7 linked regions of the Oryctolagus cuniculus genome follow. The protein of the gene in region 1 purifies or fractionates together with the protein of each later gene. This does not show direct contact. Links are inferred from orthologs where the notes say so. Each region holds a gene or a part of one and is shown in the gene's direction. Other genes may lie near its edges.

What was found.
Region 2: the proteins of ERBB2 (region 1) and ACSL3 purify together in Homo sapiens (affinity purification with mass spectrometry; 3 studies listed by BioGRID and IntAct, with this or other methods). This does not show direct contact. The link is inferred for Oryctolagus cuniculus from reciprocal best matches to the Homo sapiens genes ERBB2 and ACSL3.
Region 3: the proteins of ERBB2 (region 1) and CDC37 purify together in Homo sapiens (affinity purification with mass spectrometry; 3 studies listed by BioGRID and IntAct, with this or other methods). This does not show direct contact. The link is inferred for Oryctolagus cuniculus from reciprocal best matches to the Homo sapiens genes ERBB2 and CDC37.
Region 4: the proteins of ERBB2 (region 1) and TIMM50 purify together in Homo sapiens (affinity purification with mass spectrometry; 3 studies listed by BioGRID and IntAct, with this or other methods). This does not show direct contact. The link is inferred for Oryctolagus cuniculus from reciprocal best matches to the Homo sapiens genes ERBB2 and TIMM50.
Region 5: the proteins of ERBB2 (region 1) and CTNNB1 purify together in Homo sapiens (affinity purification with western blotting; 3 studies listed by BioGRID). This does not show direct contact. The link is inferred for Oryctolagus cuniculus from reciprocal best matches to the Homo sapiens genes ERBB2 and CTNNB1.
Region 6: the proteins of ERBB2 (region 1) and VAPB purify together in Homo sapiens (affinity purification with mass spectrometry; 3 studies listed by BioGRID and IntAct, with this or other methods). This does not show direct contact. The link is inferred for Oryctolagus cuniculus from reciprocal best matches to the Homo sapiens genes ERBB2 and VAPB.
Region 7: the proteins of ERBB2 (region 1) and LRPPRC purify together in Homo sapiens (affinity purification with mass spectrometry; 3 studies listed by BioGRID and IntAct, with this or other methods). This does not show direct contact. The link is inferred for Oryctolagus cuniculus from reciprocal best matches to the Homo sapiens genes ERBB2 and LRPPRC.

The regions. Positions count from the first base shown.
Region 1 is NC_091448.1:22,674,087-22,678,335, reverse strand, and holds part of ERBB2 (receptor tyrosine-protein kinase erbB-2), read left to right. Parts: intron 1-2,006; coding exon 2,007-2,054; intron 2,055-3,182; coding exon 3,183-3,321; intron 3,322-3,417; coding exon 3,418-3,540; intron 3,541-3,689; coding exon 3,690-3,788; intron 3,789-4,006; coding exon 4,007-4,192; intron 4,193-4,249. UniProt on the Homo sapiens protein: Protein tyrosine kinase that is part of several cell surface receptor complexes, but that apparently needs a coreceptor for ligand binding. Essential component of a neuregulin-receptor complex, although neuregulins do not interact with it alone.
Region 2 is NC_091434.1:16,426,251-16,430,499, reverse strand, and holds part of ACSL3 (fatty acid CoA ligase Acsl3), read left to right. Parts: intron 1-224; coding exon 225-364; intron 365-3,493; coding exon 3,494-3,666; intron 3,667-4,249. UniProt on the Homo sapiens protein: Acyl-CoA synthetases (ACSL) activates long-chain fatty acids for both synthesis of cellular lipids, and degradation via beta-oxidation.
Region 3 is NC_091447.1:67,020,563-67,023,850, forward strand, and holds the end of CDC37 (hsp90 co-chaperone Cdc37), read left to right. Parts: coding exon 1-263; intron 264-521; coding exon 522-630; intron 631-735; coding exon 736-851; intron 852-952; coding exon 953-1,075; intron 1,076-1,426; coding exon 1,427-1,609; intron 1,610-1,718; coding exon 1,719-1,790; intron 1,791-1,884; coding exon 1,885-2,040; 3' UTR 2,041-2,388; downstream 2,389-3,288. UniProt on the Homo sapiens protein: Co-chaperone that binds to numerous kinases and promotes their interaction with the Hsp90 complex, resulting in stabilization and promotion of their activity. Inhibits HSP90AA1 ATPase activity.
Region 4 is NC_091449.1:15,489,384-15,494,166, reverse strand, and holds the start of TIMM50 (mitochondrial import inner membrane translocase subunit TIM50), read left to right. Parts: upstream 1-1,699; 5' UTR 1,700-1,747; coding exon 1,748-1,855; intron 1,856-2,498; coding exon 2,499-2,658; intron 2,659-3,081; coding exon 3,082-3,113; intron 3,114-3,317; coding exon 3,318-3,339; intron 3,340-4,783. Other genes in the region: SUPT5H (transcription elongation factor SPT5), read left to right, coding at 260-355, 436-579. UniProt on the Homo sapiens protein: Essential component of the TIM23 complex, a complex that mediates the translocation of transit peptide-containing proteins across the mitochondrial inner membrane. Has some phosphatase activity in vitro; however such activity may not be relevant in vivo.
Region 5 is NC_091441.1:106,507,993-106,512,780, reverse strand, and holds the start of CTNNB1 (catenin beta-1), read left to right. Parts: upstream 1-1,531; 5' UTR 1,532-1,788; intron 1,789-2,251; exon of another isoform or gene 2,252-2,386; intron 2,387-4,788. UniProt on the Homo sapiens protein: Key downstream component of the canonical Wnt signaling pathway.
Region 6 is NC_091442.1:3,754,078-3,758,326, reverse strand, and holds part of VAPB (vesicle-associated membrane protein-associated protein B/C), read left to right. Parts: intron 1-1,585; coding exon 1,586-1,689; intron 1,690-4,249. UniProt on the Homo sapiens protein: Endoplasmic reticulum (ER)-anchored protein that mediates the formation of contact sites between the ER and endosomes via interaction with FFAT motif-containing proteins such as STARD3 or WDR44.
Region 7 is NC_091433.1:158,886,349-158,889,780, forward strand, and holds the end of LRPPRC (leucine-rich PPR motif-containing protein, mitochondrial), read left to right. Parts: intron 1-1,016; coding exon 1,017-1,159; intron 1,160-2,160; coding exon 2,161-2,217; 3' UTR 2,218-2,514; downstream 2,515-3,432. UniProt on the Homo sapiens protein: May play a role in RNA metabolism in both nuclei and mitochondria. In the nucleus binds to HNRPA1-associated poly(A) mRNAs and is part of nmRNP complexes at late stages of mRNA maturation which are possibly associated with nuclear mRNA export.

The DNA.
Region 1 (4,249 bases):
GGTTTTAACTTTAGGCCAAACACCTGCTTCCTTTTTTGGCATTTTTCATTTTCAGTTCACACACAATAATTGTACATACTTAGGGGATATAGTGTATCATTTCCATAGGTGTAGACAATGTGTCTTGATCAATCCAGGTAATTAGCATTTTCATCTCTGTATCTTTTTAAAATCTTTATTTATTTTTAAAGATTTATTTATTTGTTTGAAAGGCAGAGAGAGAGAGAGAGATCCTCCATCCGCTGATTCACTCCCCAAATGGCCACAACAGCTGGGGCTGACTCAGACTGAAGCCAGGAGCTTCACTCATCCAGGTCTCCTTGGATGCAGGGGCCCAAGCACTTGAGCCATCTTCCTCTGCATTCCCAGGTGCATTAACAGGCAGCTGGATTAGAAGTAGAGCAGGACCGGTATTGCAGCTCACTTGGCTAATCCTCTGCCTGTGGTGCCGGCACCCTGGGGTTCTAGTCCCGGTTGGGGCGCTGGGTTCTGTCCTGGTTGCTCCTCTTCCAGTCCAGCTCTCTGCTGTGGCCCGGGAAGGCAGTGGAAGATGGCCCAAGTGCTTGGACTCTGCACCCGCATGGGAAACCAGGAGGAAGCACCTGGCTCCTGGCTTCAGATCGGCGCAGCTCACCAGCCGAAGCAGCCATTTGGGGGGGTGAACCAATGAAAGGAAGACCACGAAAGGAAGACCTTTCTCTCTGTCTCTCTCTCTCTCCTCTGTCTACCTGTCCAAAAAGAAAGAAAGAAATGGAGTAGCCAGGACTTGAACCGGCTCCACAGACTGGACTTGAACCAGCGCCACAGACAGGGAGCAGCTTAACCCACTGAGCCACAGCCCCGACCCTTACTGTTTGTTTTGTTTGGGACTTTCAAGCTCCTTTCCTCTGTCTTGGTAATATGCACAGCAGGTTATGTGAGCTGTAGCCATCACCCCACTGGGCCGTGGAGCACCCGCACTCACTTCTCCCTCCCTCCCCCAGGCCTGCCCTGTGCTTTCCTGTCTTAGGTCACCTGTTGGTGAGCGCGTGTGGGTCTGTGTCCTTTTCAAAAAGACTCCACCTGTGACCCAGTTTGAGGGCTAGCAAGCTTGTTTCCTTTTGTTTGTTGCGTGCATGTGAGCGTCTGTGGTCCCCTCAGCAGGTGCGGGCAGTTTCGGGGCTGGACCGAGGGAGGCGTGTGGGGCCGTGGGGAGTGTGGTACCGTGCTCTGTGGAGGCGTGTGGGGCCGTGGGGAGTGTGGTACCGTGCTCTGTGGAGGCGTGTGGGGCCGTGGGGAGTGTGGTACCGTGCTCTGTGGAGGCGTGTGGGGCCGTGGGGAGTGTGGTACCGTGCTCTGTGGAGGCGTGTGGGGCCGTGGGGAGTGTGGTACCGTGCTCTGTGGAGGCGTGTGGGGCCGTGGGGAGTGTGGTACCGTGCTCTGTGGAGGCGTGTGGGGCCGTGGGGAGTGTGGTACCGTGCTCTGTGGAGGCGTGTGGGGCCGTGGGGAGTGTGGTACCGTGCTCTGTGGAGGCGTGTGGGGCCGTGGGGAGTGTGGTACCGTGCTCTGTGGAGGCGTGTGGGGCCGTGGGGAGTGTGGTACCGTGCTCTGTGGAGGCGTGTGGGGCCGTGGGGAGTGTGGTACCGTGCTCTGTGGAGGCGTGTGGGGCCGTGGGGAGTGTGGTACCGTGCTCTGTGGAGGCGTGTGGGGCCGTGGGGAGTGTGGCACCGTGTTCTGTGGAGGCGTGTGGGGCCATGGGGAGTGTGGCACCGTGCTCTGTGGAGGCAGCAGCTGCGCTTTCCAGCACCGCGGGGCAGTGCAGGGAGCAGAGGATGTGGGTTCCCGGCTGGAGAAGGAGTCGCTTCTCAGTGCGGAAGATGGAACAGAGTGACCTTGCGCCCCGGTTCTACCTTTGTCACTTGGGGAGAGTAACCCGGTTACACCCACCCCCTGGGGTTTGTGATGAGGCTGGGGGAACCCCGAAGGATGGTTCCTTAAGTTGTTAATGGGACTCTCTTCTCCTGCAGCTGCGTGGACCTGGATGACAAAGGCTGCCCCGCGGAGCAGAGAGCCAGGTTGGCCCAGTCTCCTCCTGGTGCCCCTGTCTCCCCAGCCGGCCTCTGATGCAGGGAGGGGTCACCTCGTACACTTCCCTCCCCAGGCCACCCTTACACTGGTGATCCCACTTGCCCAGGGTGCTGGGGGCGGGAAGATGGTTGAGACCCTCCCCACCCAGGTCCTGCCCGCTGGAGTGGCCTGGTTCATTTCCCTGGAACTCAGGGTAGGGTGAGAAAGGTGCAGCTGCAGCACTGGCACGGAAACAGGACAGATTCTTAGCTGGAGATGGCAGGAGGCCTCAAGGAGGTGGCTTTGAAAGAGGGGCAGGTATTTCGCTTGCGTTTAGGTGGGATGGGGGAAGCAGCAGGAAAATCCAGGCTGTGTGCCAAGGTCCTGGTGTGGGGATGGGCTGTCGAGTATGCACAGGGAGGGAGCAAGGGGGGAGGTCAGAGTCAGCTAGGGTTTGGATCTGAAGCACGGAGGCCTTGACCACCAGGCCACTGAGCTGAACATGGTTGTCTGGCCAGCGAGGGGCTTTTCAGAGGAATAGATTCAGCCAGCATTCTTCCGAGGTTTGCTCTGCCCCAGACCCTGGCTGAGAAGGGCAAGGGTGGGGAGGTGGGCCAGCACAGGGACAAGGATGACCAGAGTGCTGGGTCGACTCCCAGAGGCTCCATCCAGGGTGAGCTGGGTCTTGGAGGTGGGCCCGTGGAGAAGTGGTGGTCCAAGCAGGAGGATGGGCTGGGACCGACCGGGAGTGAAACGCTGGTTTGGTGCTACAGCGAATTGCTGGGTGCACATTCCTGGGCCCCACCCACATGAGGATCAGAATCCCAGGGAGGGGCCTGGCTCTGCAACTGTGCATATTAACAAGCTCCCTGGGGGTTCTGCTGCCTTGAAATTGTAAAGCCCTGAGCTATGGCCAAGGGCAAGAATACCGGACAGAAAGGGCTTGGAAAGGCTAGCTGGGAGTTTGGATTCATTGTGGAGGCAGTGGGGAGCCTCGGCAGGTTTTCGTGTAGGGAAGAGAGGGTCAGAGCCTGTGGCCAGCCTTCCCAATGCTAGGGACTGTCGTGTCCCGCCCCCGGGGCCCTGTGTCCCCTTGCCCGAGTGGCCCCCTCCCTGACCCTGGCTCTCACCCCCAGCCCTGTCACGTCCATCATCGCTGCTGTGGTGGGCATTCTGCTGGTCGTGGTCATGGGGTCAGTCCTCGGGATCTTCATCAAGCGAAGGCGGCAGAAGATCCGGAAGTACACCATGCGGAGGCTGCTGCAGGAAACGGAGGTGAGCCGGCCCAGGGCCCCTTGTCCCCCGCCGCTGCCGGCCTGAGGCTGGGACCCAGCCCCGGCCCCAGCACTGAGCTGCACCTCCGCCCCACAGCTGGTGGAGCCACTAACACCCAGCGGAGCGATGCCCAACCAGGCTCAGATGCGGATCCTGAAGGAGACGGAGCTGAGGAAGGTGAAGGTGCTTGGATCAGGAGCTTTCGGCACAGTGTACAAGGTCAGGAGCTGGGGTGGTGGTCCCCGGGGTGGGGCTGTCCCTGCAGGGGTGTGGGGGAGGGGGAGGGCGAGGCGATGGGACAGGGAAGGGCTCTCAGGGAGACGGGTGGGGCTGGTCCGACCCCTGCTCATGGCTGTTTTTCTGCTCAGGGCATCTGGATCCCCGATGGGGAGAATGTGAAAATCCCGGTGGCCATCAAAGTGTTGCGGGAAAACACATCCCCTAAAGCCAACAAAGAGATCCTGGACGTAAGCCCGTGCTCCCCTCACACCCTGGCTGTAGGGTGGGGCTCTGATCTTTCTGCACTGGTGTCTGGGGGGATGGGACTCCCAAACCTCAACTCAACACCCCCGTCTGTGGTCCGTGGCTGTTTTGTGATGGTTGGGGTTGGCAGGGTGAGGGTCCCCAGTCACGGGAGGCAGTTGGGGCTGGGGTCTTTGGTCTCTGACGATTTTTTGGCCCCCAGGAAGCATACGTGATGGCAGGGGTGGGCTCCCCCTATGTGTCCCGCCTCCTGGGCATCTGCTTGACGTCCACGGTGCAGCTGGTGACACAGCTGATGCCCTACGGCTGCCTCCTGGACCATGTCCGTGAACACCGCGGGCGCCTGGGCTCCCAGGACTTACTGAACTGGTGTGTGCAAATTGCCAAGGTATGCACTTAGGGGCAGGGCCTGGGCTCTGTGGGCCCCTGGGGAGCAAGCCCCTCT
Region 2 (4,249 bases), on another chromosome or scaffold:
AGCCTTAAATAGAAATACAAATCAGGTTTTCAGATTTGAATATTTAAGGCAGCTGCTAATCATTAACTGCGTTATGGATTCATTTTTGTATATTTATATATGTATTATGTTATAAATATACATTTATAAAATATAAACAATTATACATAAAATATGTTTATACCTACAAATATATTTATATACATATGTATTTATGTGCTGTATGTTCATTTTTATATTTGCAGGAAATTATGGATCGGATCTACAAAAATGTCATGAATAAAGTGAATGAAATGAGTAGTTTTCAACGCAATCTATTTATTCTGGCCTATAATTACAAAATGGAACAAATTTCAAAAGGACGTAGTACCCCACTGTGTGACAGGTAAATAAGGACCCTCCCTTTTTCTTTTGATAATTTAATCATTTAATTCATGTTAATTAACCAGTTAATTGAGATAGAGATAAGTAATATTGGGGGAGGGCAGCATTGTGACGAAGCAGGTTAAACCACTTCCTGCAGTGTTGGCATCCTGTATGGTTGCTGGCTTATTACTGGCGCAGCTCCAGTTGTAGCAGCCATCTGGGGAGTGAACCAGCGGATGGAAGACCTCTCTCTCTCTGTTTTTACTTCTCTCTATAACTCTGTCTACAGATAAATAAAATCAATAAAACATAAAAGATATAATAAAAAAAAGAATATGAGGTATTTAAAAATAACCTGCAGGAGCTGGTGTTGTGATATAGTAGGTTAAACCACTGCCTGCAACGTTAATATCTCATAGGGGCATCAATTTGAGTTCCAGCTGCACCACTTCCCATTCAGCTCCCTGCTAATGTGCCTGGGAAAGCAATGGAGAACGACCCAAGTATTTAGGTCCCAGGACCCATATAGGAGACCTGAAGAAGCTCCAGGCTCCTGACTGCAGGCTTCAGCCTGGTCCAGCCCTTAGTTGAGGCCATTTGGATAATGAACCAGCGAATGGAAGATCTCTCTGTATGTGTCCCTCTCTCTCTCTCTCTCTTTCTCCAACTCTGCTTTTCAAATCAATAAAAATAAGTCTTGAAAAAACCTGCAATATCTTTTGAAAATATTTTTCGTTTAGAATTTTGCTGTATTTAATTTAATTTTAATTTTTTATTTAATGTAATTCTGTGGACACTTAAGGGACTTAGTACTTTGAGAAAATTTCTCTTTGATTTGAAATTTATATTGGCATCAATATAAAATTTCAGTATGAATATAAAATGAAGACTAAATATGATTAAATGTTTTGTATTTAAAGTTTTAAATGACCAATTTTATCCCAGATATGTATTTTGATAGTGTTAAATAGATTTATGATTTTATGATTAAAATTCAAATTTTTATGAAAAAATTAGTTTTCAGGTACTTCTTTTTATTTAGAACTCTATGAGCTTTTTTCCCTGCCTTATTATCTCTTTAGCAAGATATATATACATTGCTTTGGAAAGTTTGTTAATTTGATTTTTCAAAGTTATTTAAAAATTTTTTTAAAAATCTTCTTCCCCTTTTGGATTGAAGTAGTGAATAATCTTAATTTATTAAAATTAATTTATTAAAATATTATTAGAAACTTATCAATTAGATGATGAATTATTTTCCTTTTTTTAATTCCTCATAGATGATTTCTTTTAAACAATAATAATGCTTCTTTTAAACAATAAAACTTCAATTAGTGAAATATTAAAAATAGCTAGGAGGTGGGTATTTATTTTAATATTTATTATTTGAGAGATAGCTTATAGACAGGGAGAGGGAGAGACAAAGAGACAAATCTTCCATTTCAATCCCCAAATGGCGGTAGCGGCCAGAGCTTTTGCTGATCCGAATCCAGGAGCCAGGGTCTCTCATGTGGATGCAGAGGCCCAAGCCACTTGAGTCATCTGCTACTGCTTTCCCAGGCCTAGCAGAGAGCTGGATTGGAAGAGGAGTGGCTAGGACTCAAACTGGTGCCCATATGGGATACTGGCACCTCAGGTGTAGCCCATTATGCCACAGAACCAGCCCTGGAGGTGGTTATTTAACCTAATAATTAAGACACTTAATCCTGTATCAGAATGCCTTGGGTGCATTGCCTGGACTCAGCTCCCAACTCCCCAAGTCAGCTTCCTGCTCATGTATACTCTGGGAGGCAGTGGTGATGGCTTAAGTAGTTGATATCTGTCACCCATGTGGAAAAGTTGAATTCTTGGTTCCTGGCTTTGACACGGTGTCGCTCCCCTCTTCGTGGAGGAACGACACGGACCCTGCGCTGTTCTTTTGTCTGCTCGGCCCTCCCGGGTTTGCTGCTGGTTCTTCCAGTGTTGGCTACCGACCTTTCCACCTCCGTGGAAGGGCGTTCCCCTGCCACTTTCCCCACTTCCGCGGGGGAGCGGCACACCGCCGGCCGGCTCTCTCGGGGGCTGCACAGGTGTTCCTTCAGATAGATGTTCCTGGTGCATGTTGTCTCTCTCCCTCCTTTATAGTCCTCTTCCACCAATCCCAACTCTGCTACCCACACGCCGAGTACGCTGCTCTCCTCCAATCAGGAGCAGGATCAGCTCCTGCAGGTCATCACTCAAGTTGGCGAGAGGCAGCTGCGTAGAAGTTGTTAATCCCTTCTCAGCGCCATATTGTGGGAGAGCAGATGCATAGAATAAGTCTTAATTCCAGTAACAGTCTAGTCCGAGTTGCTCCCCACAACACGGCCCAGTCCTGGACCTTGCGGGCATTTGGGGAGTGAACCAGCAGATGGGAACACACCGTATCTCTCTCTCTCTCTCTCAACAACCAAAAAGAGCTTTGTTGCTATGTATAAATATGTGCACATTTCTAATGAAGTAAAGCAAAAACCTAATTTGCTTTTAATTTCATGTAGATATAATACAATAATATAATATAAACTAGTTGCTATGATTTAAGGGATTTTCCATTATTACACAAAATAAATTATATAATAATTCTTTTTGAAGATTTATTTATTTGAAAGCAGAATTAGAAGGAGAGACAGAGAAAGAGATCTTCCATCCACTGGTTCACTCCCCAGATGGCTGCCATGGCTGGAGCTGGGCTGATGAGGAACCAGGAGCTAACTTTAGGTCTCCTACATGGGTTGCAGGGGCCCAAGCACTTGGGCCATCTTCCATTTCTATCCCAGGCACATGAGGAGGGAGCTGGATCAGAAGCAGAGGAGCCAGGACTCAAACCGGTGCCCATATTGGGTGCCAGTACTACATGCAGTGGCTTTACCATAGTGCTGGCCTCCTTATGATTGTGAATTTAGATATTACTTGAAAATTTCTTATGGGGAATTCATGTATTCTTTACCTTGTTAAACTATTAGAAGCTAAGATTTAAATAACAGGTCAAGAGAATCTCCCAAATTGGCTGTGTGACTTTAGATAAGTCACTTAATTAAAAAAATCTCATATCATAATTGGGAGATTAGAAAATGATTTGGAAATCTTTCAGCTTTAAAATCCTGTGACTCTGATTAATTCCTTTTTTTAGCTTTGTTTTCCGGAAAGTTCGAAGTTTGCTAGGAGGAAATATTCGACTTCTTTTGTGTGGTGGTGCTCCACTTTCTGCAGCTACACAGCGGTTCATGAATATCTGTTTTTGCTGTCCTGTTGGCCAGGGATATGGACTTACGGAATCTACTGGTGCTGGAACAATTACAGAAGGTTAGTGTTGTTCCTGAAATGAAGTGTCCATCTGAGACTTAAGTACAACTCCAGGTATTTTTTTGGTATGGATTATTTTCTGCAAATATATTGGAGATGAGTAGTAGAGGTTTTTGTCTAGTAGATGAGTGGGTAAAATTGAGGTGGTATTATTGATACCAGTTTTTAGAATATATTGGATGTGTCTGTAGTCAATAATTTATCTGGAGAGGCTTTTCATATTAAACTATTCAGGTATTTAGCATTCTGGAAAGAAGCTTTAGTGACCAGCATTGACTGTGTTGTATATATTTATCTTCTAATATCAGTTATTAGATTTCTTGTAGAAAAATTTGGGTGTTTTTGTCTAGTTGAGCGCTCAAGTTCAGAAATGTCTATGGAGATCTCTCTAAGTGTGGAGAGGAACCAGATTTGAGTCTAGTGAGTATAATTACCAGACTTCATCATGATGAGGGGTTGAGGAGGAGATCCACTGCCTAAATGGTGGTTGTTTCCCAGATGAGTCCCATAGATAGTGCCTCATGTGTCCCTTATAGGAGAGAGTCATTTTGCTTCCCAGTGCTAGAGAACTGTGCTCCTACTT
Region 3 (3,288 bases), on another chromosome or scaffold:
AGTTCCAGAAGGAGAAGGAGGAGCTGGACCGTGGCTGCCGCGAGTGCAAGCGCAAGGTGGCCGAGTGCCAGCGCAAGCTGAAGCAGCTGGAGGTGGCCGAGGGCGGCCAGGCCGGCCAGGCCGAGCTGGAGCGGCTGCAGGCCGAGGCGCAGCAGCTGCGCAAGGAGGAGCGCAGCTGGGAGCAGAAGCTGGAGGAGATGCGCAAGAAGGAGAAGAGCCTGCCCTGGAACGTGGACACGCTCAGCAAGGACGGCTTCAGCAAGGTGCGCGTGCGCGGGCCGCGGGGCTGGGGGCGGCCGCCGGGGGGCGGGGGGCGGGGCGCGTGTGGAGCCTGCCTGGGGGGCCCGGCGGAGGACGCACCCCACCGGCGCCCCCCTCTGATCTGCCCGAAGGCCCCCGCGCACGCTCCCGCCTCCTTGCTGCTCATGGCGCCGTCGACGTGGACGGGCTGGGCGCGGCGGCCCCGGCCTCCGCGCTCGGCTGGGCGCCCCCAGCCCACTCCCCTTCTCACCCACCCGCAGAGCATGGTGAACACCAAGCCCGAGAAGGCGGAGGAGGACTCGGAGGAGGTGAAGGAGCAGAAACACAAAACCTTTGTGGAGAAGTACGAGAAGCAGATAAAGCACTTCGGTGAGTGGGGGGTTGGGGGGTGGGCGCGTGGGGGCGGGCCCCCCGGGGCGGGCAGGGCGCGGCGCCCCCAAGGCCTCACCAGCACCCACGACCGCCTCCCCGCAGGCATGCTCCGGCGCTGGGACGACAGCCAGAAGTACCTGGCGGACAACGTGCACCTGGTGTGCGAGGAGACCGCCAACTACCTGGTCATCTGGTGCATCGACCTGGAAGTGGAGGAGGTGCGCGGGCGGGGCCGCCAGGCCGGGGCCAGGGCAGGGCGGGGGCGCGCCGGGCCCGCGAGCGCCCCCTGGTGACGCGCCGCGCCGGTCCTCCTCCGCAGAAATGCGCGCTCATGGAGCAGGTGGCCCACCAGACCATCGTCATGCAGTTCATCCTGGAGCTCGCCAAGAGCCTCAAGGTGGACCCCCGGGCCTGCTTCCGGCAGTTCTTCACCAAGATCAAGGTGGGGGCCCGGGTGGAGGCCAGGAGCTGGCCGCGGGGGCGGGACTGGAGGGAGAGCGCCCTGGGCGGGGTGGCCCCGGGTGGAGACCAGGAGCTGGGCTCTGTCGGGGTGGGGGCGGGGGCCGAGGGACGGAACTGGAGGGAGGGTGCTCTGGGCGGGGTGGCCCCGGGGGTGGAGACCAGGAGCTGGGCTGGAGGGGAGCGGGGGCGGAGGGGCGGGACTGGAGGGAGGGCGCCCTGGGGATGGAGACCAGGAGCTGGGCTCGGGGGCGGGGCCGAGGGACTGAGGGACAGGACTGGAGGGAGGGCGCCCTGGGGGGATGGCCCGCGGTCACGGCCCGCTGGCTCCTAGACGGCCGACCGGCAGTACATGGAGGGCTTCAACGACGAGCTGGAGGCCTTCAAGGAGCGCGTGCGGGGCCGCGCCAAGCTGCGCATCGAGAAAGCCATGAAGGAGTACGAGGAGGAGGAGCGCAGGAAGCGCCTGGGCCCCGGCGGCCTGGACCCCGTGGAGGTCTACGAGTCCCTGCCTGAGGTGAGTCCCTGCCTGAGGTGCGCGGCGGGGCGCGGCTCCAGGGGGGGACGGGGCGGGGGGACCCTGACCCTGACCCCGCCCCGGCCCTGACCCGGCCCTGCGCCCCCAGGAGCTGCAGAAGTGCTTCGACGTGAAAGATGTACAGATGCTGCAGGATGCCATCAGCAAGATGGACCCCGCCGTGAGTGCCCGGGCTCCCTCGGGTCTCCCAGGCGGGCGCGGGTGGGGGGCCGGGCCGGGACAGCGCCGCCTCACGGCCGCCCTCCTCCCCGCAGGACGCCAAGTACCACATGCAGCGCTGCATCGACTCCGGCCTCTGGGTCCCCAACTCCAAGTCCAGCGAGACCAAGGAGGGGGCGGGGGTGGGCCCCGGGGACCCGCTGCTGGACGCCGCCCCCAAGGCCGGCGCGGAGGAGGACACCAGCGCCTGACCCGCCGCCGCCGCCGCCCGGAAAACACAATAGATGCCCTCTTCCCAGCTCCCGCTTCTGTGTCCGCTGCTGCCCCCAGCCCCGGGGGGCCGCCCTCCCCTCCCCCGCGCCCCCCCACCGCTCGTCCCACTCTGCTTCCACCCAAGGGGCTTCCCCGGCTGCCCCCTCCCCGTCAGCGCTATGCCAAAGGCCCCGGGGTCCGGGGAGGGGCAGGGGTCGCCACACTGGTCCGCTGGGCGGGGGGAGGGTCCCCAGCCCAGGGGCCGCGGGCTCTGTTTTCTCTGTTGGCTGTCGAATCTTCTGTTTGGAAAACAGCAGTGATCTTCCAATAAAGGATTTCAGACGCTCGCCGGGGCCACAGATGGGGCCGTGGGCAGAGCCCTGTGCTGGGGTGGGGGAGAGGCCTGGGTGCCTGTTGGCGGCCCTGCGGGAGACGCCCAGGGTTTTGTTTGCCCGCTGATTGGAACCCCTGCATCTCAGAGCCAGAATCCTCTGCCCTCCGTTCTCTCCCGCCCCTGGCCTCTCTGGGGCCGCTCACCCCACAGCCCGCATTCGGCAGCACCGCCCCTGAGGGCACTAAATCCTACAGCTGTCCCGGCCTCCTGCAGGGCCCCCACGGGCCGCCAGAGGGCGCCTGTGAGCCGACGCGTGGCGCAGGTGCGTCTGCTCACAGCCCTTCCCCGTGGCACTTGACCTTTGTCAGGGTGGCCCCGAGGAGGGTCGGTCAGTGCCTTCCTCAGGCCACAGTGACCAGAGACGATTGGGTGAGGTGCCGCCTGACAGGGGCAGCCCCCGGCGCTTCTCCTGGGACACCCTTTCCTCTAAGGGTTGGGGGACCCTTCAGAAGTCGGGGCGTGTCCCCAGGTACTAAAAAAAGGGCCACGAGATGAGTGGGAGTAAGAAGATGCATTTCCTGGCTAAAGCCGCCATCTGCAGTGCCGGCTTCCCATATGGGCGCCAGTTCGAGTCCCAGCTGCTCCAGTTCGATCCAGCTCTCTGCTATGACCTGGGAAGACATTGGGAGATGGCCCAAGTGCTTGGGCCCCTGCACCCATGTGGGAGACCCAGAAGAAGCTCCAGGCTCCTGGCTTTGGATTGGCGCGGCTCCAGCTGTTGCAGCCAGTGGGGGAATGAACCAATGATGGAAGACTCCTCTCTCTCTCTGCCTCTTCTCTCTCTCTGTAGTCCTGACTTTCAAGTAAATAAATAAATCTTTAAAAAAAATAAAAACATCTCCCAAGCAGCGCT
Region 4 (4,783 bases), on another chromosome or scaffold:
AAGCCGGCCAGAGCTGGGGCCGTGGGGCACGAGTCCGAGAAGCTGCCCCCTTCTGGCCTGAAACGGCTGCATCTGGTGCTTCCCCGCTGATCCGGGCACCCCCTACTGCTGCATAGACCCAGGCCCCGGAAGCTGGCCCAGCCTGGCCTTTGCTGCCGCCGAGTCATCTTGGGAAAGTGACTTGCGTGTTGCGAGTGAGCCTGAATGCGGGCTCAGTCCTGTGCTGGACAGGGCAGCTGAGCAGGCTGTGCCCCTGCAGGGAGGCATGTGCTCCGTGTACCTGAAGGACAGTGAGAAGGTGGTCAGCATCTCCAGCGAGCACCTGGAGCCCATCACCCCCACCAAGAACAACAAGGTGAGGCCGGGGGCCGAGGGGCGGGGGCCGAGGGTGGGGGGTGGAGGACGCGGGGCCCTGACTCTGACTGCCTCCCGCAGGTGAAGGTGATCCTGGGAGAGGACCGGGAAGCCACGGGAGTGCTGCTGAGCATTGACGGTGAGGACGGCATCGTCCGCATGGACCTGGACGAGCAGCTCAAGATCCTCAACCTCCGCTTCCTGGGGAAGCTGCTGGAGGCCTGAGGCGTGCCTGGGGCCGAGGCGCAGGCAGAGTGGCCGGGCTGGCCGGCCTGGACTGCCTTGGTGTCCTCTCTGGGTCACCTCCCCCCCATGCTCCTAGGAATCAGAGTAGAGTCCGGAGGAGGGGCCCCACTTTCTTGTACCCCAGCCCCCGGCTTGCTTTTGAGTTACGATCTTTCAATAAAAAGCTGTTTGGTCAAAAGTGCTGAGCCTGGTCTTTTTTAAAATTTAATTTATTTATTTGAGGGGTAGATAACAGAGATCTTCCATCCACTGGTTCACTCCCCAAATGGCCACAACGGCTGGAACTGAGCTGATCAGGAGCCAGGAGCCTCCTGGGTCTCCCACGTGGGTGCAGGGGCCCAAGGACTTGGGCCATCTTCTGCTGCTTTCCCAGGCCATAGCAGGGAGCTGGGTTGGAAGTGGAGCAGCCGGGACTCGAACCGGCGCCCGTATGGGATGCCCGCCCAGCGCCGGATGCCTGAGCCTGGCCTTGTTTGTAAGTGGGGTCAGTTCTTACCCAAGCCTCAGCTTCCCCACGGAGGAAAGACCTAGGGAAAGGCGAGGAGAGCAGCGTCCAAGCCCCGCTCGGCAGGAGGAGGAGCAGTGGAGAGAACTGCCTGGGTCCCGAGCCTCCTTCCCTTCATTTGACACGGGGACAGCGCCACCTGCTGGCTCGCCCCACCTGCCGGGCGCTCAGCCCCGGTCTCCCGTGGAGTCGGCCCTGGAGCCGGGTATCAGACCCAGGTGATACGGTGTGGGACGCTGGGCGCCCTAACCGCTAGGCTACACGCCCGCTGCTGGTTTCACTTAGGGCAATTAGGAGGTGAAGGCAGAACCCCCCAGGGGCCGAGATGAGCTGATTCCTTATCAGTTTTTGGGGGCAAATCGGGTAGCCGTGAGTGTGACCCCTGCCCCTGCCACGTCCAGTTTCAGTACCAGTGGTGCTCCCCAGGACTGGAGCTAGGTGGCCATATCCCGGCTGACGGGCCCCGAGGACAGCCAGGACACTGGTCAGGAGCGAGCGCGCCGGCGGCAGTCCGCCCAAGGCCTTTTGGGTCTCTCGGGCTCCCGTCCGCCCGTCCCTCCTCTGTGCCCCGATTGGCCGCAGGCCCAGGTCGGGGCGGGCAGAGCGGGGAGACTGGGCGGGGCCTCGTGGCGTCAGCGCAAGATGGCGGCCTCGGCGGCGCTGTTCTCGCGCTTGCGGAGCGGGCTCCGGCTCGGCGCGCGGGGGCTGTGCACGCGGTTGGCGACGCCGCCCCCCGGGGCCCCAGACCAGGTGAGCGGGACAGGCCAGGCGCTGCGGGCGCGGCGGCCGCGCCTTGGAGTTTTAGACAGGGAGCTGCCGCCCAGTGGCTCTGGGATGCCGCACCTCAGGGTGCTGAATGGAACACTGCCCGCCCTTCGGGCCGGCTCCGTGCCTCCCGGAGCGAACGCTGCGCTCTCCTCCGGCCGGATGCTGGGGCCCGAGTGCACCCTCTGCACCTCCGCTCTCAGCCACGTGGGCGCCGGGGGCGGAGGGTCGCCTGCTCCCTACCTCGGGGACCACTCCGGCGCTAGTTGCGGGAGAGCCCCAGCCTGGCCTTGAGGTTTTCTTGTCCGCCTCGGGCGTGGGGCAGGTGAGCTGGACGTCAGGCGTCCAGTTCGACCCGCCTCCGTGCTGACGGGACCCAGCCATTCTGACCTCCAAGTCCGTGGCCTCCTTGCGCCACTTTCCCAACCCCCAGACAAGCGATCGCCCCTGCCCGCCCCCGCCCCTCTGGGCGTCCGGACGCCTTGACCTCCCGGCCCAACGCCCCGTGTGTGGGGCCCGCGGCGCTCCTGACACCCACGGCCCGCCAGCCCCCGCGCCCCGGGCTCCTTCCGCGGGACAGGCTAAGCGCCCTCCGCGCCGCAGGGCCTCACCCCCTTCTCCACCACAGGCTGCTGCGGAAATTGGGAGCCGCGGGGGAGCCAAGGCCCCGGGACCACAGCAGCAGCAGCCGCCGGGCTCCGAGGGTCCCAGCTATGCCAAGAAAGTCGCGCTCTGGCTTGCTGGGCTGCTTGGGGCCGGCGGGACCGTGAGCATCGTCTACATCTTCGGTGAGACGCCCCGGCCCCCCAGTTCTCTGTTCCCCTGGGGCCGCCCCTGGGCCACTCATCTTCACTCCCGGGCGCTTCCCTGCACAGGGCCACCAAGTAGGAAACCTGCTTTGGAAATCGGGGGTCTCCTTTCGTCTCTCTCACCCCTGTGTAAGGTTCTACTCTAACTGGTCGGCTCCTGTACGAGGCTGTGGGGAGCCACTGGAAGAGGGGAGGTGGGGAAGGCCTGGACCAGCCTCCTGGGCTGTGTCTCCTCCCTGCAGCCACAGTCCAGCACAGTCATCGCTCAGACACCAGGGGGCTCCGTCCCCCCCAACCCAGGAGGCCGTGTCTCTGGTGCACTTATGCCCCCTGTCCCCCATCTCCTCCAAGACCCAGGAGGCAGCGCCCAGCTCCTCTCCCTCACTCCTGTCTCCCTTGCAGGAAACAACCCTGTGGATGAAAACGGTGCCAAGGTGAGTGGAAAGAGACCAGAGGCCTTGCCAGGAGTCCCAGCCTGTGGGTGGGTGTCAGGGCCTCCTTTGGGTCCGCTCTGGCTCCTTTTGGGTCTAGGGCAAGCCCCTCCCTACCTGGAATCAGGCCCTGGAGATCGCTTTGCTGGGTGGTGGTGGGGTCTGCCTCTGCCACCCCAAACTTTGCATTTTCTCTCTGCTTCCCAGATTCCTGATGAGTTCGACAATGGTGAGTCAACAAGCAGAGACTGAGTCCCTGACGCAGCCAGCTCTGCCCATCTGGTGCCCCCAGCTCCTCCTTGCGCTGGGGGAGGGGAGCCAGCAGCTCGATGCTTTTCTGGGAGGGGCATCACAGAGACCTAGCCCTCAGAGAGCAGATGGTCAGAGCCAGGTGGGGGAGGGGAGCCCGGTGGCAGGGCCTGGGGACACCAGGCTGCTTATCCACAGACACGGCGTCTGCTGCCTTCGGTCTGAGCACCTGCCCCTCTCTGTGGCGGCCTCTGAGTTTACCCCCATTCAACCCGGCTTTGGATGGAGTTTGTTCTGCCAGATTGCAGAGTGTTGTTCCACCCAGCCCTGCCCGGGAGAGGCTGACATTGGTGCCTTCAGAAGGCCACTTGGCCTCTGCTGGGCGAGTTTGCACACAGGCACGGTACTGCACTAATTAAACTGGGCAAGCGGGCAGATGTGCTGTTTTAACTGGGCAGGTGTAGGACCATCCTGACTGGAACAAATCAACAGGCATTTCATTTGGTTCCTGGGCAGATAAACATCATGTTTATGTGTACTGCCTTAGCTGGTTTTAATAATGTGATTAAAGAAAAATTTATTATTTATTTGAAAGACACAGATCTCCCATCCACTGGTTCACTCCTCAAATATCTGCAACAGCTGGGGCTGGGCCAGGCTGAAGCCAGGGGCCTGGAGCTCAGTCCAGGTCTCTTACGCGGCAGGGACCCGAGGACTTGAGCCATCATCTGCAGCTCTCAGGGCACATGCACAGGAAGTAGAACTCAGGAGCAGAGCTGGGACTTGAGCCCAGATCCCGCTGAGTGGAATGGGGGACCCCCGTTGGCGTCCTGACTCTGTATCAAACACGAGCCTCTGTGCTATAGTATTGTTGAGACAGGCGCATCGGGAGAGCTGTGAAGCCCTGCAGGTACCTCCCCGCCTTCACAGAAGGTGTGTATTGTGAGAAAACTATGCGTGTGTTCAGTTGTTTTTACACCAAAACTACCTTTTAATTTTTTCCACCAACTTTGAAATACCTGCATCCTGTTTTAAAGTCATGGGAGACAGTCACAGGAGTTTGTGGTTGTGAGCTGCTGCAGGTGGGCTCTGGGGCCCTGGGTTCAGCTGCAGGTGGGCTCTGGGGCCCTGGGTTCAGCTGCCACGTGGACCGCCCACCTGTGTCCTGTGTCAGAGTGCTGATTCTAGCCAGCTGTCTGCCAATGCACCTGGAAAGCAGCGCTGATGGCTCATCTGCCCACCTGTTTGGGCCCCTTCTACTCGTGTGGGAGACCTCAATGGAATGCCTGGTTCCTGGCTTCAGCCTGGCCCAGCCCTGGTTGGTAGAGCCATTTGAGGAGTGAACCAGCTGATGGAAGATACCTCTCTCTCTCTCTCTCTCTCTCGCTCTCTCGCTCTCTCTCTCTCTCTCTCTCTCTCTCTCT
Region 5 (4,788 bases), on another chromosome or scaffold:
GATTTTAAATGTATAATTTGAATCAAATCAACTGAAATATTCCTTGACTCTGTACATGACAATTAAAACGGGGGGGGGGGGTGTGGATACCTGTACACGCCATTTATACCTCTGACTTTGTCTTAGAAACAGTACTTTGATGAAATACCTTTTTCCGTTCGATCTGTTTTGAGTTGCGACCAGGGAAATTAACTGCGACCAACACGCACACTTGATTCTATACAATTGCTGCAAAGATACAGATGAGAAAACCATTGGAGACAATGGACCTCACCAAGCATCATCTTAGCGGGTGGACTTTTTCCACTGCAGGGGCTCCCGCGAGCTGTGGCGAGAGACAGCGGTACCGCTGTATACAGTAAAACATCTTTAGGACCGAAAAATAAGTGTCATTTAGAGAGCAGGTTGGCTCCAAAGCATGCTATCTCCATGAGGTGATGAAAAAGGTTTCCTGCCTGTACTTCTGTATAAAGACCTATTGTTTGCATAGGCATTAATTACAGTCCTAGGAGAAAAGCCCCCGAGGTAACTTTCACTGTTGCCTTCTGTACTTTCTCCATTGTTTTTGGAGGAAAAATAAGCATAAAACAATGGAGGAGAGAGAGTGGACCGGCTTTGACAGATGCCACTCTTGCAGGATGACAATGGAGACGGGGGCAAGGCGGGTGCACTCCCAACTTCCTTGAAGTTGAGAACCAGGGGACGCTGCTGAAGAAGAACAAATTAGTTTTTAAAAACATGGTCCAGGCTGCCTCCTCCACAGCTCCTCCTAGAAACAACCTCCGTGGATGTCTGGAGCAGCAGGAGGGTGGAAACGCAGTTCTTCCCAAAGGAAAAGCCCCACCAGTGGCTCCGCTGCTGCTCCGAGTGGGACCAGACGAAGGTCAGCTACTAAATAGCAAAGACCTAACCGATAGCGCGCGGGAGCCAGTCCTCCTCCACTCGTCATCTGTTCGCAGTGGGGGGACTCGGGACGACTTGTTGAACCACGCGGGGCTTCGGCGCCCACTTCACCCAGTGCGGCCACCGAGTGGGGACGGGACGGCTCGGCCCGGAGTCCGGTGGGGGACGCCGCGCCCACCCTCCGGACCGCAGGGACCTCCGGGGGAGTGAGCGCCCCGACCCGCGGCGGGGCCCCCGACTTCAGCCCTCTCGAGACCCGTCCCACGCGGCCCCACGCGGCTCCTGAGGCCCGGGGCGCGCGATGGCCCCTTCCCCCGCGGGGGGACAGGAAGCGCGCGTCCAGCTCGGGACGGAGCTGCCCTCCTCCCACATCGGCCAGAGTGGGGGTGGGCCGGCCGCCCGGCTGCGGACCACGGCGCCCCCTCCGCTCCCCTGCTGTCTCTGGCGGCCAGGGAGCCGCCGGCGGGCCACGCTGGGAGCGTCCGAGGGGCGCGCGGGCACGCGCAGGCGGGCGGGCGCGCGCGCGGGCCACCCCGCCCCGCCCCGGGGCGGTCGGACGGCGGCGGCGGCGGCGGCGGGCGGCGCGGGGACTACTTTCGGCGGCCGCCCGCGCCCCGCCCCTCGTCCTCGCGCGGCGGAACGCTCCGCGCTGCGCCGGCGGCGGCAGGATACAGCGGGCCAGCGCGACTTATAAGAGCTCCTTGTGCGGCGCCATTTTAAGCCTCTCGGTCTGTGGCAGCCGCGTTAGCCCGGCCCCGGGAGCTGAGAGCGAGGGGGAGGCGGAGACGGAGGAAGGTGCGAGGAGCAGCTGCGGTCCCCGCCGAGCCGCCACCGCAGGCCGAGGACGGTCGGACGCCCGCGGCGGGTGGAGCCTGTTCCCCTGAGGTGCTTGGACGCTCCCTTCCCTTACCCTTCCTGGGCTGCTCCCGCTCCCTCTTCGGAGCCAAACTTCGTCCCGGGCGCGCGGTCCCGGCGGCGGGCGGGCGGGCGGGCAGCCGGGCCCGGCGCAGCCCGGAGGGCCGGGGTGGGGAGCCGGGGACGCGGGCCGGCGACGGCGGGGGCGGGCGGCGTCCAGGGCGCGGAGGGCGGCGGCCGGGCCCAGGTTCCGGCCGCGCTGCCCCTCGGGGGGCCCCGGGGGGCGCCGCGGGCGGGGAGGGGGCGCCGCGGGGGCGCGTCCAGGAGCCCGGATGACCGGCGGCGGGGTGGGGGTGGGAGGCGGCGGTTTCCGTCCCGGGCTCCGGCGGCGGCCGAGTTTGGGGGAGGGACCCTGCGCCTCGGGATGCGCCGGGGTGGGGGGCGGGGTGCGGCCGGGGGGCTCCGCCTTCGCAGCCCGGCGGCGAGTTTGGGGGTTCGGGACGCCGGAGGCCGGGACGCCACCCCCAGGTGCTGTTCTGCGGCGGGGAATGGGAGCCGGTGGAGTTGGCGGGTTTCCTCTCTGCGTCTAACAGACGACTAAGGATATATTGTTAACAACCCTGCCTATGTGAGTTCGAATCGAAACAACTTTAAGCCTCAGAGTAACTAAACTCTTCGTGCAGCCGGCGCGATGCGTCAGTAGGGTGTGCACCTGTGAAGTGTGCGTCGTGCACCGAGGTTTTCTCGTGCGTGCAGGCGAGTGGGGGCGGCGTGGAGCGCTCTGGGTTTGTGGCCGTGGGGCTTGAGACCCCAGGACCGTAGGGGAGGGGACGACGGGGACCGGCTCTTGGTCCCCGAGCGGCCCGCAGGCTCCAGCCTCCGGCTGCCTGGAGACTTCTCGATCGTGGGAATAATTTATTCCAATAGTTGTGTGGCAGCTGAAGTTGATTCCCCTCTCCCCTTTTTAGAGCACGTTTTCTTTTCAGCGGAGCGAATTTTTTTTTCCTCCCCCACGAAATGGGACAGACGAGAATCCAAGCATTGTAACTTCTTTTCGGTGTTTTGTGCGGGGAGAGGACTTTGAACCCGACTCTCAAGGAAGTTCGGTTCCCGTCGCCGGCTTCTGGATCTGCCGAGCTGGGGCGCGGGGTGTAGTCGTTTCCTTGCTGGAGGGGGCATTGTCTCCTACTTTGTGTCTTCCAGACATCTGTGGTCTCCCCTCCCCCCGAGTTTGTGCGCGGTGAATGAAGGGAGACTGGGCTGCTGGTATGCAGAGGTCGGCGAAAGGAAATCGAGGAGTGGTTTTAGTGAACTGAGAGCTTTGTATCGTGAATAATGGTGGCTCAGACTAGACAGCAACTTGAAGAGACGGCTGCGTTTCCTTTGATGACGTCTAGGCCGATGTTTTTCAGATCGCTAAGTTGTAAAGTATTTTGTCTGGAATTTAGAAAGCCATTCCATTATTTACTTGCCACTTGGTGAACCGTCAGTACCCTTCGTTGGCTTCCTGTTAACTTGTCTTCATTCTAGTAAATATTACATCGAGCCCGGAGTGTTACCTACATTATGCTGCTGTTTACTGTTTGTTGGAATCACTGACTATTTTGGAGGTGTTTTGTTTGGATTAAAGCTACTTTCATTTTACTTTTAAATTCTCAAAAATCTCAGGTAGAAGAAGAAAATTCCCTTATGGTTTATTGGAGGTTGTCCTTTCACACAAGACAAAATGTGATTAATTTGCACCCAGTATTCATTACTTTGACCTAATCTTTGTTCTGAAGGCCAAGCACAAAGACAAGGCCCTGAAGTGATCACAACAGTAACTTGAAAAACTTGCAGAAGTCTGTTCTCCAGGATTAAGGGAATGCGGAGACCATTCAGTCTGAAGTCCTTGAGAAGGAATTGAAAAACTGCCCTAGAAAGCTTAGTATTGCCTGTAGCTTAGAGTCCTGTGGCGTCCTAGGCCTGAGAGCCTCCCATAGACCAAAGCAATCATTTAAAACAGCTTTTAGGAAAAACCAACTTAAAAAAAAGGCTAGGAAAAAAAAAATAAAGCATTTAGTAGTGTTCAAGTGTCAAAACTTTTTTAAAAAACCCATTGGCATCTGATGTCTTTCAAGATTAAGTATAAAAATATATTCCATTATTAAAATTTATCAAACTGAATTGACCTAGTAATGGCTGGCATTGAAATTGTCACAAATGAAGGCCTGTATGCTTGTTTTTGTAACCCCACTGCCAAAATGGAAAAAGATCGAGAGGAGGAAATTTTTCTAAGGGTGATTGAAAATATGGTACATAGAAAAACTGCAGGTAGCATTTTTGTTCCAGTTAGGAGAGGCAGAGAGAAGGAGCATGTTGTTACTGTTAAAACTAGGGGTATAGAGAGTTTGATTATCATTCATTTATGGTTAAAGGTAGTGAAATTAGAACTGGCTGTTTAAGTCTGTTCAAATGAAACAATACATTTGTTATAAGGTGATTTTGTTTCCCTGTCATAGTCTACTAGTTGGTGATAATAATTGTAGATGAGTAGGTGGTAAAAAGTTTATACTCTGAATGGGGTCAGAGACATGCTTGACTGCTAAGCCAGGGCAAGAAGGATGAAAGCTTTTATATCTGGATAGACTTCTGATGTTAAAGGGGGGGGGGTATTGTAACCAATGGGGGGTATTGTAGTGGTACATGCTGGTTTGTGATTGTTTTTGAAAACATTGCTTGTATTAACTTGGTTGTTTTCTTGTAGGCCTCTATTTATTGGAACTATGGTATCTATTGTTGAAACAGCTTGACTGAAAACGTTTTTATACCAGGAAAGTAAATAGTAAACATAGACCAGAATCTTTTTCTGATTTATTCAAAGCATGTAGCTATTGCCTGTTGCAGCTTCATGGAGAAGATATCTTGGCAGAATCAAGTCCTCCCACTTTTTTTTTTTTTTTTTTTAGATGTATTTTATTTTGAAAGGCAAAGGTACAGAGAGACGGAGGCAGAGAGATCCGTCTTCGATCCGCTGGTTCACTCCCCAGA
Region 6 (4,249 bases), on another chromosome or scaffold:
TCTCTAGTAAAAAGTTTTTAAAAAGAAAGCCACTAGTGAGGGCCGGATTGTCCAGAGTGCACCACGCCTTTGTGCCTGCAGGCATAGGATTCCGAGAAGAGTGGCCCTTGTTCCTAAGTGGCTTTCCTTCTCTCTGCCGATGGTTACACTGTTTGGATTTTGAGGTTCAGACCAAATGTCCTTATTGTAGTTACCCTTGGCTAGACGCTGCGTTGTGTGTGTGCAAGGTTTGCTCTTCAGTGTGCATTGAATTCTGTCCTGTAGCTCAGAGCACTCTGCTGAGTGTTGTGGGCGGCCGGTGCTCTCGGTCTGATGTGTGGGGAGCTCATAACGCACCTTCTTTGTCCTGCATCTCCCGAGTCGGGGGAGGGAAGCTGGCGTTTTCTATTCCCCATCAGTGCAGATCCCGGAGTCCCTGTCGTGGGCGTGTCCAGTGGGGTGCAGGGGCCGCCGGGAGTCAGAGGTCTCGGCTGCTTCCCCTGTGGGGCCTCCGGTTTCCCCGGCGTGGACCAGCCGTGGACCAGGGCTGAAGACAGTGCCCTTCCCTGGCCGCCCGGGACCTTGAGTGCTGGCCTTGGGCAGTGTCGAGATGAGCTTCAGAGGACACTGAGGAGCACGGGACGGGGAGCACTGCCGGCGGGAGGGACCGAGGACGAGGACGAGGAGGTCCTTCAGGGCGCCTGCCGGGAGCAAGGGCTCGCCTGGCAGGCCGCTGGGGCCTGGCTTTGCCCTCTCCCCAGTGTGACCTCAGGCATAGCGGGTCACTTCTCTGGGCTTCAGAAAGTGGGCATCAGAGTCACACGGCCTCCTGATCCGAAGCCCGGAGCCCCGTTCTGGCAACACCACATGGAGGTGCCAGGTCCCTGCCGGCTCCCGCCTGGAGGCAGGGCCCCAGGAGGCCTCTCCCGCAGGTGGAGCTGTGTTTCAGGGAACCTCACTAGATGAGGGCTTAGCCCAAGTCCTGCAGCAGACTAGATTTTAAAGCGGCCATCATTTCGTCAGCGGGGCAGGCCCTCGTCTACCCTGTGGGAGAGGCTGAGGGCAGCGGAGGCTGTGGCTGTTGCTGGTCCACAGACCCCTGGTGAGGGTGGGGGGTGTCCTCCGGGTGCCTGCGAGGAGCAGGGGCCGTGAGCTGTGGGTTTTCCTGTGCTCTCTGCATATCCTCCTGCTCTGGTGGCAGCTTTGTGTTTCAAGCTTTACCTTGATGAACTAGGAGGAAATGGGGTGGAGAGAAGCTGAAACAGTTCCTTCCATGTTCCGGATTGTTCTGTTGCTGTTCTGAAAGGTGCTTGGAACAGAAGCAGGCTTGTGGTTTCTGCCTCGCCCGCCTGCCCTCCGAGGCCTGCCGCCGGGTCGAGGGTAGGCTGGAGGATTGAGAGATGCACAGCTGGGAGCCGGAAGACCCAGCCCTGACCTTCTGCACCGGCTCGGGGAAGGTGCGGTCACCGGCTCCCTCAGCGCTGGCCCGAAGGCTCAGATCAGAGGACGCGGGCAACAGCTTCCCAGGCACAGGACAAGCACTAGCGTGACGAGTGGCGCGGATAACCCAGCTCTGACCCTCCTAATGAAATATTTTCTTTCTCAGTGATGTTACAGCCTTTCGATTATGACCCCAATGAGAAAAGTAAGCACAAGTTTATGGTTCAGTCTATGTTTGCTCCAACTGACACTTCTGATATGGAAGCAGTAGTAAGTACTGAATGCTTCTTACTTTTTTCAGTAATAATCGTAACAAGCCCAATTAGGCACAGAATGGCGGGTGCATGCGTGCCAAAGCGTGAAAGTTGTGTGCAGGGGAGCGGTCTTCTCAGGGGGGGTGTGCTTTGACTGCCTGTGATAACACTCTATTCTGTGTCCTGGAGCACTGTGTTTCTCTGGCTTGCAAACTCCGTGTGCTTCAGCAGTCGCTTGCCCTCACGGCTGTGTCTCGTGTGAGTGGGTGCTCCCCCTCTCCTCTCCTGCCCCAGGAGGGCTGCGAGGGCCCCCGTCTCCCCTGTCTCCCCTTGCCCTCATGGCTGTGTCTCGTGTGAGTGGGTGCTCCCCCCCCACCCCAGGAGGGCTGCGAGGGCCCCCGTCTCCCCTGTCTCCCCTTGCCCTCACGGCTGTGTCTTGTGTGAGTGGGTGCTCCCCCCCGCCCCAGGAGGGCTGTGAGGGCCCCCGTCTCCCCCGTCTCCCCCGTCTCCCCCGTCTCCCCCGTCTCCCCCGTCTCCCCCGTCTCCCCCCGTCTCCCCCGTCTCCCCCGTCTCCCCCGTCTCCCCCGTCTCCCCCGTCTCCCCCGTCTCCCCCGTCTCCCCCGTCTCCCCCGTCTCCCCCCGTCTCCCCCCGTCTCCCCCCGTCTCCCCCCGTCTCCCCCCGTCTCCCCCCGTCTCCCCCCGTCTCCCCCGTCTCCCCCGTCTCCCCCGTCTCCCGTCTCCCGTCTCCCCCGTCTCCCGTCTCCCCCGTCTCCCCCGTCTCCCCCGTCTCCCCCGTCTCCCCCTGTCTCCCCCTGTCTCCCCCTGTCTCCCCCCGTCTCCCCCGTCTCCCCCCGTCTCCCCCCGTCTCCCCCCGTCTCCCCCCGTCTCCCCCCGTCTCCCCCCGTCTCCCCCCGTCTCCCCCGTCTCCCCCGTCTCCCCCGTCTCCCCCGTCTCCCCCCGTCTCCCCCCGTCTCCCCCCGTCTCCCCCCGTCTCCCCCGTCTCCCCCGTCTCCCCCGTCTCCCCCGTCTCCCCCGTCTCCCCCGTCTCCCCCGTCTCCCCCGTCTCCCCCGTCTCCCCCCGTCTCCCCCGTCTCCCCCGTCTCCCCCTGTCTCCCCCTGTCTCCCCCTGTCTCCCCTGTCTCCCCCTGTCTCCCCCTGTCTCCCCCGTCTCCCCCTGTCCCCCGCTTGGTCCCAGTGCGCTGCTGCCTTGTTGTTCCTCCCTGCGTTCTTCATTTTCCCCCTTGCTTAAACACATGTTCAGCTGTGTGTATTTTTGGTAAAATTAAAATGACTTCATTTTTTACAAAATAAATAAGTGATGTTACATTTTTGATGTTTCTGGGAAAAGATTATAATGGAAATTCTCTCCGAAGTAAACTTCACACACAGAGCATCCTGGTGTTCTGAGCATGGATCGCAGGCCATAGACAAGACGTGCAGTGCCCAGCGCCCCACGGCCTGGCAGGAGGGCAGCTCTGGGCTTCCTCTCGCCGAGTGTCACCCAGAGGCTCCTTTGTGGAGCCGTCTCCTGCCCGGGGTTGCCGCACAGTGTTTCCCCTTGCACTTGGAGCATGACTGACATCTCCGTTGATGGTTAACTTTTGGAGAGAGAATGAAGGCAGAGCCGGTACTTTTGAGTTTGAGAGAGATCTGGGGTAACAGGCCGTCCACTGTCCGTAGAAGATTATTGGGCATTCGCCAGCTCCTCTGTTTCCTGGACTGTGTTCTCTGCCTCAGCCAGCATGTGGTCGAGGAGGTTGGGGGCACACAGAAGACAGCGTCCGCGGGCACCGGCGCCTGGCGTGGCCGCGCGGCCCTCTCGCTGCTGACGCCGAGTCCTGCCTTCTGCTAGCGCTGTGGCCTTGAGCAGCTTTCATAACTTCTGTGGTGTTGGTTTCCCGGTGAAATGAGGCTAAAAATACAGCCCGCGCGGCGAGGATTAAGTGTGCCGGGTGCTTGTTCTGTCTGAGTGCTGCATGTATGTGGACGGTCACTCCACAGGCTCTGTGACTTTTATGAGTCCAAAAGAAATTTTAGACAAAATGTACTGCAGGAAATTTTGGAAATACACAAATGAACACAAACTGAAAGTGATTTGTGATTCCTTCACACTGGGTCAGAGCAAGCACTGCCTTGTGCTTTTCCTTATTTTTAAATGTTTTTATTTTGATGCACAGAAAGGTGAAAACACAGTGCACTGACCACTCCTTACAGCCGCTGCCTCGACTGACCCTTTGTTAGTATCCTGCCACCTTTGCTTCCTCTCTGTCATAGGCTTTCTTTTCTTTTTAGAAAAGATTGATTATTTGAGAGGCAGAGTGACAGGGACATACACACACGCGTGCACACGCACACACACGTGTGTGCACAGACATCTTCCTTCCCCCAGTTCCCTGTCCAAATGCCCACGACAGCCAAGGCTGGGCCAGGCTGGAGCCAGGAGCCTGGGCCTCTGTCCTGGCTCCCACAAGGAGGGGCCCAGGCACTTGGGCTGCCACTCGCTGCCTTCCCAGGAGCATTCGCAGGGAGCTGGGTCAGCAGGAGAGAAGCTAGAACGCCACCACCATTCTGAGTGG
Region 7 (3,432 bases), on another chromosome or scaffold:
TTTGTGGGGGAGAGCTGTTGTGAACTGATTGTTCAGCTTCTCACCACGGTCCTGCAGGTGCACCCTGGCTTCATGGTAGAGTTCCTTAGATGTTAACACTCTTCATACAAAGTCCCCGGGAGCCAGCAGTGTTGCACAGTGGGTTATGGCATCCCACATCAGAGCACTGGTTCAAGTCCCACCTGTTCCGCTTCCTGTCAAGCTCCCTGCTACTGCATACCTTGTGAGGTAGCAGATGATGGCCCAAGTTCTTGGGTCCCTGCTACCCACATGGGAGACCTGCATGGGGTTCCTGGGCTTCAGCCTGGCCCAGCCCCAGCTGTTGCAGGCATTTGGAGAGTGAACCAGCAGATGGAAGATCTTCTTGGTCTATCTCTCTGCCTTTCAAATAAATAAATATTTCAAAACTTGGCCAATCAGCCACAAGGCAAGGGCCAGCTCGTCATAGCTGCTAGGCCCGTGTCGTTCTAGTGCAGTATGATTCTGACTGGTTAGAGCTTTGCTTTGTCATCATAGCTACTTATGTTCTCCGAATTTGCTTATTTGAAAATAGGAAAATATATTGAAGTCTTTGTGGACGTTTAGCTGTTAATCTTGATAGGTGCAGATATGCAGGCTTCTACATCATTCCCATGCCCCTCACCACAGCAGGCTGGGTTTTCTTGAATTCAAAGTGTGGATTGTAAGCAGGGGCTTGAATGGCGTGTGCTGATTACTTTATAACCAGGGGCGGCGGTGTGGTCACTGACTCTCCGCGGGATACCTTGGGCACGCAGTGCCACTCAACGCTCTTCTGCAGACAGTTGAGTGTGGCCACACCTGGCCTCTCCCCTCGCCTCCACCGTGACTGGCGCCGAGCGGGTGGTGGAGATTCTGAATAGGACTTCTTGCCGCAGGTCGTTACTTAGTCACATGCCGTGGGGTAGAGGGACCCAGCCGCCCCTGAGCAGCTGAGAGTTTTGGGGAAAAGGTGGTCTCTGCCTGTGGCTAACACCTTCTTCTGTAACTTTCCTCAGTCCTGGACAAAGACGTCGCGTCTGCTAAAGCACTGTACGAACATTTGACTGCAAAGAAGACAAAACTGAACGACCTGTTTCTGAAGCGCTACGCGGTTTTGCTGAAGGGCGCTGGAGAGTCAGTCCCCTTCCCGGAGCCCCCTGTGAGTATTTCTTAATTACGGGAGAAAATACCTCTGCAGATTGACACGGGCCTCCGAGCAATGCGTAAGAACATAAGTTGAATACTTAATTACGCAAGGATTAGGCCTGTGCGTGGAGCCCTGGGGGGTGGCCGAGGCTCTGGGAGACAGGGCCCTCGGGGCGAGGCAGTGGGCAAGGCCGTGGCAGACCTCCAGCTGGAGGAGGGAATTTCTCCGGTGTCCTTGGGGCAGTTCTCACCTTGTTTCAACTTGAAACAGGCTTTGATGGCCTGGACTTCAGTAGCCAAACATATACCCCTGTTAATTACTTGTTCGTTTTAGATGAATTGGGTTTCTTGGATTTCTTCATCTGGGAAATTTGGTTTGCTTTCAGTAAGAGAAATCACACATGCAGAATTCCTTTTTGTTCATTGAATCGAAAGTCACTGCACCTGGATTATTTCAAACACCTTGACCTTCCGTACCCACGTGCACACATGCACACAGCAGAGGCTTCTGCTCTGCTTTTGGGGCCCTTGAACTTGTGACTTCATGAAACAGAAGACTGTGCCAAAGCTTGGGGGTGGCATTGGCCGCAGGACCAGCAGTCTTAACTACCAGTTTGCTTTATAATTTTTTTAGATTTTATACTGTTACCCCCTTTTTTTTTTTTTTTAAGATTTGTTTATTTATTTGAGAGACAGAGGCAGAGAGAGAGAGAGAGGTCTTCCATCTGCTAGTTTACGCCCCAAAGGGCCACAACGGCCAGTTTGAAGCCAGGAGCTTCCTCCTGGGCAGTGGCCCAAAGACTTGGGCCATCTTCCACTGCTTTCCTAGGCCACAGCAGAGAGCTGAATCAGAAGTGGAGCAGTTAGGACTCGAACTGGTATCCATATGGGATGCCGGCACTGCAGGCAGCAGCTTTACCCACTACGCCACAGTGCCAGCCCCTGACGTTACCTCTTGCTGTGAACTCTTTCTCTAACTTCCCTCTTCTCTGCCTTTTTTTTCCTTATTAACAGGAAAGCTTCGAATTCTATGCAAATCAGCTAAAGGAATCAAAAGAGAAGCCCTTGTGAGATTAAGAAGGCACTTTGCTGCATGTGTGTTCATGATTCTGGACTAAATGTTATTTGTAAAATGTACTAGAAACAATAAAGTGAAAAATTACTTTTCTACATACTTTCATTTGTAAAATGCGAACGTTGAGCATCTTACTGCTGATTTTGTGTCCATTGAGTCATAATACGTCTGTGTCGTTTCTTTACGGCTCCTCTGTGTGAAGCTGTAACTCTTCAGGGTTCTTCCGGCTAATGCCATCAGTTTTCCTGCTCTGTTTCATTTGTTATTTTCATTAAAATGTTATTCCTTTCAAACTTGCTTGTTTGTATTGTTTATCTGAAAAATTTTGGAGCTAGAGAAACAATATTTAGCTTCCCACTGTTTGATATTCTATAATTCTGTGTGCGTGAAGTCCTGGATAACTTTCCAGTTTTGTAAATCACCAAATCTAGCATGTGTTGTTTTCCAGCAAGCAGCAGAGTCCAGTCACTGTCGCCATCACCTGCCCTCGGCCAGCTCCCGACGCACACGTTCAGCACATGTTCATTCCCTCCCTTTTTCCAGGGGCACCTATGAAGTGTCAGAGTCTTGGTCATGTCCTCTCATTTTTTAAAAACTTTTATCTCTTTATCTGAAAGGCAGAGAGAGAGAGAGAGAGAGAGAGAGAGAGATCCACTGCTTCACTCCCCAAATGGCCGCAACAGCCCAGGCTGGGCCAGGCCAAAGCTAGAAGCCGGGAACTCCATCCTGTTCTTCCACATGGGTGCCAGAGACCCAAACACTTGAGCCACCTTCCACTGCCTCTCCAGATGCCATTAGCAGGGAGCTGGATCAGAAGCAGAGTAAGAGACTCAAACTAGGACTCCGACACCGGGCGCTGCTGTCACAGGTGGCAGCTTTACTGGCTGCACCACAGCACCAACCCAGGTCCTCATTTGTTTCCAGGACTCTGTTAGCACAAGGTACACCTACCCCAGGCTTGGGACATTATGCTTGTATCCTGTAAATATGTGATTCCATGTATGAAAGGGTGTGAGCTGCTGGTTTGTGTTCACTTTTATAGATTAAAATTTACCTTCATGCTGGCTCTTGTGCCTTTTAATATCTATAGCATAAGTACATTAATAAGGTTTAGGATGGGAAATCAAGGCAGTTTATAAAGGTGGGGTGAGATAGTTAATTTTGAAAAATATTGAAGGTATTTTATTTGAGGATTACCCCCCCACTGTGGG